3 linked regions of the Xenopus tropicalis genome follow. The protein of the gene in region 2 interacts with the protein of the main gene of each other region in a pairwise test. Links are inferred from orthologs where the notes say so. Each region holds a gene or a part of one and is shown on either strand. Other genes may lie near its edges. The genes, in order: kiz, tacc3 and cib3.

What was found.
Region 1: the proteins of tacc3 (region 2) and kiz interact in binary tests that used the Homo sapiens proteins (3 or more experiments, as listed by UniProt). The two-hybrid records come from large-scale screens. The link is inferred for Xenopus tropicalis from reciprocal best matches to the Homo sapiens genes TACC3 and KIZ.
Region 3: the proteins of tacc3 (region 2) and cib3 interact in binary tests that used the Homo sapiens proteins (3 or more experiments, as listed by UniProt). The two-hybrid records come from large-scale screens. The link is inferred for Xenopus tropicalis from reciprocal best matches to the Homo sapiens genes TACC3 and CIB3.

Annotation. Positions count from the first base shown.
Region 1 is NC_030681.2:36,368,276-36,371,931, reverse strand, and holds part of kiz (centrosomal protein kizuna), read left to right. Parts: intron 1-2,062; coding exon 2,063-2,345; intron 2,346-3,656. UniProt on the Homo sapiens protein: Centrosomal protein required for establishing a robust mitotic centrosome architecture that can endure the forces that converge on the centrosomes during spindle formation. Required for stabilizing the expanded pericentriolar material around the centriole.
Region 2 is NC_030677.2:20,375,130-20,378,885, forward strand, and holds the start of tacc3 (transforming acidic coiled-coil-containing protein 3), read left to right. Parts: upstream 1-1,000; 5' UTR 1,001-1,121; intron 1,122-3,756. UniProt on the Homo sapiens protein: Plays a role in the microtubule-dependent coupling of the nucleus and the centrosome. Involved in the processes that regulate centrosome-mediated interkinetic nuclear migration (INM) of neural progenitors.
Region 3 is NC_030677.2:104,272,432-104,276,087, forward strand, and holds part of cib3 (calcium and integrin-binding family member 3), read left to right. Parts: intron 1-381; coding exon 382-493; intron 494-1,121; coding exon 1,122-1,269; intron 1,270-2,408; coding exon 2,409-2,604; coding exon of another isoform or gene 2,605-2,671; exon of another isoform or gene 2,672-2,743; intron 2,744-3,656. UniProt on the Homo sapiens protein: Acts a an auxiliary subunit of the sensory mechanoelectrical transduction (MET) channel in hair cells. Plays a role in regulating hair cell MET channel localization and function.

The sequences.
Region 1 (3,656 bases), on a different chromosome or scaffold from region 2:
GGCATGAAATGTAGAATAAGCTTTATTGATAGTGACAGTGACTGACACACCCATTCTTTTTCCTCTGTCATTCTTATACTTGATCCAATCTCACACCTCTTCATCTTTCACTTTATTCAAATTTCTCTTTCTATATTTTGCATTGTTCCAATTTCTTACTTTTTTTTTACTTTAAAGGAACAGTAACACTAATAAATTAAAGAGTTTAAAAGTAATTAAAATATAATGTACTGTTGTCCTGCTCTGGTGCAACTGGTGTGTTTGCTACAGAACTGCTACTATAGTTTATATTTATAAGCTGCTGTGTATCCATGGGGGCAGCTATTCAAGCTGGAAAAAGGTACAGGTTACAAAGCAGATAACAGATAAGCTCTGTAGAATATAATTGGGTGTAATCGGTTATCTGCTGAGTAACCTGTGCCTTTTCTCCATTGAATGGCTGCCCCCATGACTCCACAGCAGCTTTGGTTATACAGGTATAGGACCCGTTATCCAGAATGCTCGGGACCAAGGGTATTCTGGATAACGGGTCTTTTTGTAATTTGGAGCTTCATACCTTAAGTGTACTAAAAAAATAATAAAATGTTAATTAAACACAATAGGATTATTTTGCATCCAGTAAGGATTTATTATATCTTAGTTGGGATTAAATACAAAGCACTGTTTTATTTTTACAGAGAAAATGGAAATCAATTTTAAAAAATCTGATTTATTTGATTAAAATGGAGTCTGTGGGAGACAGGCTTTCCGTAATTTGGAGCTTTCTGGATATCGGGTTTCCGGATAAGGGATCCCATACCTATATACACTATAGTAGGGTTTCAGAGGCAAACACGCCAGTTGCACCAGTGCAGGGTAACAGTACATTATATTGTAATTACTTTTATACACTTTAATTTTTTTGTGTTACTGTTCCTTTAAGGAATACTTCTTACTTTTTGACAGAAGACTTAACCAAATTTATATTTTAATAAGTGACCTATCTTACTGTTCAAGGAAGAAGTGTGGTAAAAGGTCTCTGTCCATTACTTTACTAATGTAACATTGCGACTTGGCCCATAATTTAGGTTGCCACATGGGACAAATATGCTCTTGTTTGGCAGCTTGTTAAACAAGCAGATCTTGTGTATGGCCAGCTTCAGACCATGCACCTTTTTCATCTGATAGTATTCCTGGCTGCCAGTATTATTAATGTATTTATACAGCTCTGTATATATAGGTGCCCTATGCATGCTGTAACAGAAAATTTGTTAATTCAACAATGATCATAATATCAAAGCTTTCACAACCAACAATCCATTCATATCTGCAAATAAGCAGACAACCATTGATTTATACACACAAAAACCTATATGCCCTTATCAATAATTATCTGTGTAACTGTGCATATAAAATGCATAAAAGCAAGCATGTTTTTTTGCATATGTTGATAGTTATGCATATAGTGTAATAGTGTAATATTTCTTCTTTCCCTAAATGCTGTTACATGTCTTTTATTATATATTTGTGCATAGTGTTTCAGTAGCAGCCTCCATACTGCTTGGCTTGACTTAGGCATCAAATACAGGTATCAGTAGCACAGTGCCATTTATTTATTTAGTAACTACAAGGTGAATTCTGTCATAGAATACATACATTACAGTGAATTACGTGACACATAACATCACTAAACACAAGTTAGGATGTATGAAATCACTGAGCACCATTTAGAAGGCTATATTTAATATAAACTTAAATTTACATTTTTTAATCTATCATATTTGTATTTTATAAGAAATAACATACTCCATCCTGTACAGTATGGGGTATATGTAGTTTCCTCAGAGTTCCTTTTCCTGAATAAAGGCCCTAAGGACCTAAATTCAAGACGTTATAAAGGTTTAATATTTGGTTATTAAAGTCAACAGCTATAATAGTATCCTATTGTCCTTAAGCCTATGACCCAAAGAAGTTTGGGTTTGAGAACCTCTGGTTTATGTCTTTTTTTTGTTTTTTGGGTTCTGGTGATGTCTTTAGGTGCTGTAAAATGAAATAATAGTGACTTTACTTTATTTTTTTACAGATACGATTGAAAGCCACCTTATCAATGAAGAAGAAGGCAATGAATGTCTCGACAGCAGCAGTGACCTTACAGTTTCTATTAGTGAATCAGAGGATGATTCCCATCCACCTGGTGAAGTCAGTGTAGAAGCCGAAAGGAATGATGGAAAAAACCCATATACAGCTTTATCCAAACAAGAGGCTTTTGTACTAAAGAATAATGAAAAAACACCTACCATACAGTACCTCCAAACAACAGAAGTAATTTCATGTGATGAGTCTTCTTCCTCCTCTACAATCAGTCAGTAAGTTTAACAAAGTCAATTTATCTTTTGCTTAAGGTTTGTGCCACGAGTAGTTTTTACACTAAGTTTTTAGAAATGAATATGGCTAGAAATGCCATATTTTATATACTGAACTTATTGAACCTGCCTAAACGTATAACAGTAATGATCCAGGCCTTCAAAGTTGTCACAGGGGATTACCCTATTGCAGTCTGTCAAAAGTGTCAGCAACACCATGCTCGCTGCGCTCTGCACTCATGCTGTTGAGAAGCTAAGCTTAGGGCAACTTTGGCAACCTTGGCAAATTGCGGCGCTGTGTATGCCATCCCACCGGGGATTTACATTCTAGCCGGTGGGATGGCATTGCGGGGAGATTAGTTGCCTGCGCCAACGGAGATTTGTCACGGCGCAATTAAGATGTAACTGATGTAACTATTAGCCCATCAAAATGTAGCATATTTTGTTACCTAAAGGGGCCGATTGACCTGATATACACCTAGAAACCTATATACACACACAGAAATTATGCTGACAAATATTTTAATTTAAAAAGAAAAAAATCAGTCTTTTCTTTCATTTCTTATTATATACCAGTAACAGGTATAGTTACTGGTATATAATAAAGGCACTATTCACTAAATGGTAGTGTGTAGGTAGTGTCCTTAATTGAAGGATCTGGGTTTTTGTAGATATCAAATTGTCTAATTCCAGGCAATGTTATTCTGTGGCTACTAAAGCAAATAAAGTGCCATCTTGTATAAAAAAAGGGCATTGACTCAAGGGATGAAAAGATAATATTGCCTCTTTATAGGTCCCTGGTAAGGCCTCACCTTGAGTATGCAGTGCAGTTTTGGGCCCTCAATCCTTAAGAAGGATATTAATGAGCTGGAGAGAGTGCAGAAACTGCAACTAAACTGGTAAAGGAGAAAGAAGATTTAAACTATGAGGTTAGACTGTCAGGGTTGCGGTTGTTTTCTCTGGAAAAAATGCGCTTGTGAGGGGAAATGATTACTCTGTACAAGTACATTAGAGGGGATTATAGGCAGATAGGGGGTGTTCTTTTTTCCCCATAAAAAGTATCAACGCACCTGAGCCCCTTCCCCCTTTAGATTAGAGGAACAGAGCTTTGTAGGGGGTTTTTCATGGTGAGAGCAGTGAGGTTGGAGAATGCCCTTCCAAGTGATGATGTAATGGCAGATTCTGTATATGCCTTTAAGAGGGGCCTGGATGAGTTCTTAAACAAGCATAGTATCAAAGGCTATTGTGATACTAAAATCTCCAGTTAGGGGCCCATTTATTAAACTACGAATTTTCGGCAATTAAAAGCACGAT
Region 2 (3,756 bases):
TTGCCACCATGTCTAAAGCTGGCCATACACCCACATAGTTTCGTCCAATTGTTGGACCACGTGGTGCTTGGTTGTTTAGTCAATCAGACAGATTAGAAAATTTTGGTAGAATAACAACAAAATCTGTGCTTGAATTGTGTATCTGACGATATCTTAAAGCTGGGCATACACGCACCGATAATATCGCACGAAACCTCGTTTCGTACGATATTCGGTGCGTGTATGGCAAGTTGGCGAGTCGACCGGTATCGCAGGAGGCTGCTGATATCAGTTGACTCGCAGATCGGCCAGGTCAAAAGATTTTGATCGGGCGCCATAGAAGGCAAAATCTGCTGTCAGGGCTGAATCGGCAGAAGGAGGTAGAAATCCTATTGTTTCTACCTCCTTATTTGCCGTTTCAGCCCTGAAGGTTAGTGGCGGGTCTGACGATCGCGAAAGATCGCAGATCACCATGTGTGTGGCCACCTTTAGGTGCATTTCCAGGACATCACTTTCCCTACAATTGTTGTCTGCCAATTATTTTATGTTTCGGACTTTATCCAACAATTTTATCTGAACATTTGTTGGAAGGAAACAAGAATCAGAACTTCTATGGACACCTTAATAGCACAATTATATATTCCTCACAAGAGACTTCTCAGATTCTGGCAAACACCATTTCTGCCTTACACTAAATCTAGCAGTGACTGGTGATAACCAAAAATAAGTATTTATATTAGACATATATTTATTAAACAAGTGGGAGAAAGCACAAGAACCCAGGGGAGGATACGTGGCAGGCGGGAATGAAATGAGAAGACAACAAGCAGAACAGTAAGCCATTACACAGGGAAGCGCGATCCCGCTAAAACAAAGACGTCACACACAGTCACGCCTCTCACTGTACGGGGGCGCGCAAACCCGTGTCACAGCCCGCGCTCTGTGATTGGTTCATTCGTAACTGTTCGTGACGTAGGGAGTTTTCGGCAGCTGTGATTGGACGGGTTCTTCCAAACTCAGAAATTCAAAAAAAGTACATGGTCAAAAAGCGTCTGAGGCGCAGCAGGCTTGCACAGATACCCGCCGGGGTGCATAAAGGTTTAAATAGCGCGGTGCCGGCAGCTCAGGCCTTCTTCTCGCAGGTGAGGGGATATGGCGAAGTAGTTTGTGACTGGGTTCTTATTGCTATCGGTGGGGCTGGTATACACGGGCGATGACTGACTTCTGTGTCGTGATTGTTGAGGCAAAGGGGGCGCACGTATTGTTTAGATGTTTAAGCGACGTCGGTATTTAACAATGTTCAGCGTCACAGGGGCGCAGGTCTGGATTTTGGGCAGAAAGACTATTTACTTAGGGGTTGGGGTAATGGCTTTATTACTATTTAATACACAGCGACCCCTTGGCCTTACTGCACTGCATGGTGAGGAGGAGAGGGTTGGGAACTGTAGTCTGGGAATTCTACGAACTTATACATGCAAAGGTATCCATGTCCTGTCACCTATAGCAACCAGCAGGCCTGGACTGGCAATCTGGGGGTTCAGGCAAATGCCAGAGGGGCTGCTGTAAGGTGCCATAGACACTCACTATTTATTGGGCTTATGAGGGGCTGTTTGGGCCTCTGTGTACTGGGAATGCCAGAGGGGCTGCTGTAAGATGCCATAGACACTCACTATTTATTGGGGGGCTGTTTGGGCCTCTGTGTACTGAAAATCAGGCCTGGACTGGCAATCTGTGGGTTCAGGCAAATGCCAGAGGGGCTGCTGTAAGGTGCCATAGTCACTCACTATTTATTGGGGGGCTGTTTGGGCCTCTGTGTACTGAAAATCAGGCCTGGACTGGCAATCTGTGGGTTCAGGCAAATGCCAGAGGGGCTGCTGTAAGATGCCATAGACAGTCACTATTTATTGGGGGGCTGTTTGGGCCTCTGTGTACTGAAAATCAGGCCTGGACTGGCAATCTGTGGGTTCAGGCAAATGCCAGAGGGGCTGCTGTAAGATGCCATAGACACTCACTATTTATTGGGGGGCTGTTTGGGCCTCTGTGTACTGAAAAATCAGGCCTGGACTGGCAATCTGTGGGTTCAGGCAAATGCCAGAGGGGCTGCTGTAAGGTGCCATAGACACTCACTATTTATTGGGCTGGGGGGGGCTGTTTGGGCCTCTGTGTACTGAAAATCAGGCCTGGACTGGCAATCTGTGGGTTCTGGCAAATGCCAGAGGGGCTGCTGTAAGGTGCCATAGACACTCACTATTTATTGGGGGGCTGTTTGGGCCTCTGTGTACTGAAAATCAGGCCCAGACTGGCAATCTATGGGATCTGGCAAATGCCAGAGGGGCTGCTATAAGGTGCCATAGACACTCACTATTTATTGGGCTGCTGGGGGGCTGTTTGGGCCTCTGTGTACCTGAAATGCCAGGGCCTATGTTCAATCCCAGTACAGACTTGCAACCAATTGCATTTCATTTTGTTGGTATAATTAGTGCTGGGCGGTATACCGTAAAATACCGAATACAGTTTTTTTTTTTTAAAAAACGATATTCATTTTTGAAATACCCCCATACCGGTGATGATCGGGTTGCGCCCCGTGCGTACATGACGTCAGTACGCACGGGGCGCAAACAGAAGCGGCACGGGCCGCATCGCTGGCCAACTTGCTGTATGGGGGGTGGTGCTTATAAATAATAATCGTAATTATAAGGGGAAAGTGGGGGGAAAGCTTCCTGCTGGTCACAGCTGGTTACATGCTCCCTCTACTTGCGCCTCACTGGTACAAACCTCCCAAAATTGCACATTCCAAGTACAGAACTGCATGAAGCAGTGCTTCATATACCGATTTAGAACCTCTGAGGAATTGTACCAACACGAGCCTTTCCATATATTTTCAACTTTGTTCCCTGTGGATTAAATACTAATTGTCTCAATAGCAATATTTAGGGGCCCTGGCCACCAATGTTAATTGGAAAAAAAAATACCGTCAAATACCGTGATACTGATATAATTTTGAAAAATACCGTGATATAAATTTTTGGTCATACCGCCCAGCTCTAGGTATAATCCACAAAATCCACCAAAGCATTGCCACCCTGGGGGTCTAGTTATACCCTGGACTGGGGTTGTATTGCTCAGGGTGGGTGTCTGCCATCCCCGGTGCCCTATACAGGCTTTCAGACTGAATAGACAGTAGAGAACTTTTCTAAAGAGTGATTTACTGCTTGTTCATGGAGTCTGTAGGGGGGGCAGGGGATAGCTGGGAGGAGATGGTGGGTAGGTACCACCCTATGCCAGTGTGCATGAAGAACCTCATCTGAAGTTTATAAATTGGCACCTCCATTGACGTGGGTGTGGCCGACATGCTTGATATTCTTCCTGAAGCTGCAGAATTTGTGTAAAATGTTACCTGGCATCTGGGCTCCCTAGTGGAGGCTTAAGAAATCTAGAGGGTGGAGAGGATTTATCATTATTTTGAATGCTTTAATAGAAAATACCTGTTAAATGAATGCTTTAATAGAAAATACCTGTTAAAACTTGCCTTCCTGTCAATTGCACTACAGCGATACGGCGAAGGAAGGAGCAGCATCCACTGTGCGACGATCGGTTGATCGAGCCTAGCCTTCCTTCTGTATAGGAAGGAGTCAGGCTAGACTCATCAATCGTCGCACAGTGGATGCTGCTCCTTCCTTCGCCGTATCACTGTAGTGCAATTGACAGGAAGGCAAGTTTTAACAGGTATATTCTATTAAAGCATTCATTTAACAGGTATATTCTATTAAAGCATTC
Region 3 (3,656 bases), about 84 Mb from region 2:
AAGTGTTTATGCAAAAGGGTGGGGGGGGGGGTGCATATTTTAAGATACTTGTCTTAATAGAATAAAAAGGCTTTTATCTCCAGCCGTTTTTTACTTCATAAAATATAATGTTTGTCTCACCACTAAACGGATGAGGATGTAATAAATCTAATACTCTTGGTAAAAAAATAAACATGCATTTATAAGCATTCAAAATTACCTCTGTCTTATAGAGTGTAACCACATTTATGTTATGAAGTAATATATAAGTGATGTCAATATACTTACCAAAGTATTTTAATGCAATAAGTGTATCACTTTATACTGCAGTCAAGAGGAAAAGGTTATATAACTGAATTTCAATAACATCGACATGTGTACTCAATTTTTCTTCATATTAAGACTTTTTAACAGATACCGGGACTTGGCACCACAGCTTGTTCCAGATGACTACACAAATAAACCAGATGTGAAGATCCCTTACGAGCTCATCGGCAGTATGCCTGAGCTTAAGGTAAACCACGAGAGAAGCAACAACGGCAAAGGTTGCCAGATGTCACTCTAATCCGGTGCTGCATTAATAATGCAGAAGGTGCTAATTGGCATGACTTGGGAAGATCACTGAAGCCTAACAAAATACTTGGTGAAGTTAAAAGTTGCCTTTTGCATCTCAGTTACATTTTATTTGACCTAATCTGCACTCTGATTCACCTGTTACTTTTAGACTGAACCTTGAACACTAATAAAAAAAATTGCGGGGAAAAACATAGCTAGAAAAGGTGATACAGGTATAGGTTCTTATATGGAATGCTTGGGACCTGCGTTTTTTTAAACGATAAATAAACCCAATTGGACTGTTTGACTCTTATATGGAATTATGCAGCTTAGTTATTTTTAAAAACTAGAATTATTTGCTTAAAATGGCCTCTATAGAAGATGGCCTTGCCATAATTAAGAGCTTTCTAAATAATGGGTTTCCTATACCTGTATTTTCTCAAATGAATGTATCATAATATAACAATGTTTTCTAAAACAGAAAATATAGAATATAACAGAAACACTTTTTTTAGATTGTAAAAAATGTAACATCAATGAGGTTCCTTTTGATTTACCAAGGCTGACATCAGTCTCTTCTTCGGCAGGATAATCCTTTTCGGCAACGCATAGCTGAGGTTTTTTCAGAGGATGGAGATGGAAACATGACATTGGATGACTTCTTAGATATGTTTTCAGTACTAAGTGAAATGGCACCCAAAGACTTAAAAGCTTTCTATGCTTTTAAAATATATGGTAAGTTATGTTTTTATTGGCAGTCTTTATCATTCTGGTTGCATCTGTGGATGTTACTTTGGGGTTATGGTTTTGGCAGACAATAAGGAAAACAGATGACTGGTGCTTGATCTCCTTGAAGAAAGTGTTTATGTTGAGTAGCCCACTCACACTAGGGGGCACATTTACTAACCCACGAACGGGCCGAATGCGTCCGATTGCGTTTTTTTCGTAATGATCAGTAATTTTGCGAGTTTTTCGGCATCTTTTCGATTTTTGCGTAAAAACGCGAGTTTTTCGGCGTCTTTACGAAAGTTGTGCAAAGCCGCGATTTTTTCGTAGCGTTAAAACTTGCGCGAAACGTCGCGCCTTTTAAGTTTTAACGCTACGAAAAAGGCGCGACTTTGCGCGCAAGTGTTAACGCTACGAAAAAATCGCGACTTTGCGCAACTTTCGTAATGGCTACGAAAAACTCGCGTTTTTACGCAAAAATCGTAAAGACGCCGAAAAAATCGCAAAAAATATGAAAAAGTCGCAAAATGTTCGTTTCCAATCGGAATTTTTCCAATTCGGATTTGAAATCGTGTCTTAGTAAATCAGCCCCTAGATATATGCATACTTGTGCTCCCAGTTTGGTTCACTTTTGGTTCTGTTCTGTTGAGAAGGAATTTATGCTTTCAATTTATTATTCTTTCTGTTTTGCAAAAGTAGGGTTGGGGGGCTGGACTGTAGTCCTGAAACGCCCTCAAACTACAGCTCACCTGGCTGCGTCTCCCTGCTCCCCAATGCGTCCTCCCGCTCCCTTTTTGCCCACTCCCCACTGTGTCTTCCCGCTCCCTGCCCCCGCTATGTCCTCCGGCTCCCCTGCTGCGTCTGCAAACAGGTAGTAACCAGGGGTGAGGACACAGCGGGGGCTGGGTAAATTACCTTGGGGGACCGGATCCGACCCATGGGCCATATTTTGAGGATCCCTGCTCTAATATCTCAATTTGCAACAGTAATAAAATCACTGGTGCTACAGTTATGTAAACAATAGACCCCCAGAAAAGGTCTACAAAATGTTAAGGAATAACCCATCAGTTTTTTCATACATCTCTCTGCCTCATAAATATTCAGCTGCAATATGCCTTCCAAAAATGAGTATATTTATTTTTATTCAGATTTTAATAATGACGATTACATATGCAAGTCAGACCTAGAGAAGACACTTAACAAACTAACACGGAATGAGCTTACCCCTGAGGAAGTTTGCCTGGTGTGTGAGAAGGTGATCGATGAGGCTGATGTAGATAATGATGGAAAATTGTCACTGGAAGACTTCCAGCACATGATTGTTAGAGCTCCAGATTTCCTCAGGTACAGTACAGTCAATCTAACACATTTTGTTAAAGATCAAGGTGTCCCATGTATAGTTAAAGGGTGAGTTCACCTTTGAATTAACTTTTAGTGTGATATAGACATTGATATTCTGAGATAATTTGCAGTTTGTCTTTGTTTTTTTAGTGGTTTTTAGTTATTTAGCTTTTTGTTCAGCAGCTCTCCAGTTTGGTATTTCAGCAGCTATCTGGTTGCTAGGCTCTTATTTACCCTATGAGAGACGGGAATATGATAAGGAAAGGGCCTGCATATAAAGATAAGTAATAAAAAGTAGCACTAGTAGCCTCACAAACCAATAGTTTTTGGCTGTCGGGGTCAGTAAAAGTAAGGAAAAAAATTTAAAAACTATAAAAAATAAATAATGAAAAGATATACTACATACATAGTTGCTAGGAATAAGGCATTTTATAACATACTAAAATTTAACTTAAAGGTGAATCATCCCTTTAACTTATCTTTATTAATTTACGGATTTCCTTAAAGGAAAACTATATCCCCAAACAATGTAGCTCATGCTGTATGTAAAACCCTGCTTCATCTAAATAAACCATTTTCATAAAATATAGTTATTTAGTAGTATGTGCTATTGGGTAGTCCTTAATAGAAAATTGCCATTTTAAGAATTAAGGGCCGCCTCCTGGGATCACAGGATTCACAGTGTAGTCATTTTGGCATTTTACTGCCAATAGATTAGCCACATTAGTGCTACCTAGAACACTCTATTTATTCTGCAGAAAGCATTACCATACCTGAGTAAAGAGCCCTTGAAGCTCCCTCTGTTTGTGTGAGATTGCAGCTGCCATTTTAGCTTGGTCTCCGTAGAAGTCTGATAGTGAAGAACATGTTTACAATGCACAGAGAAGTCAGTGCAGCGTTTCTGTGAGTGCTAATTGCTGTATTTACAAAGACCTTTCTGATAAAGCTTACTTAGTTTTTACTTTCTTTCTCCTTTAAGACTCCAGACTTCACCAGGCACCTAAAACTGTGAAAAGAATTTCTTTATTAATATTAATTGTATTGCACTAGGATTA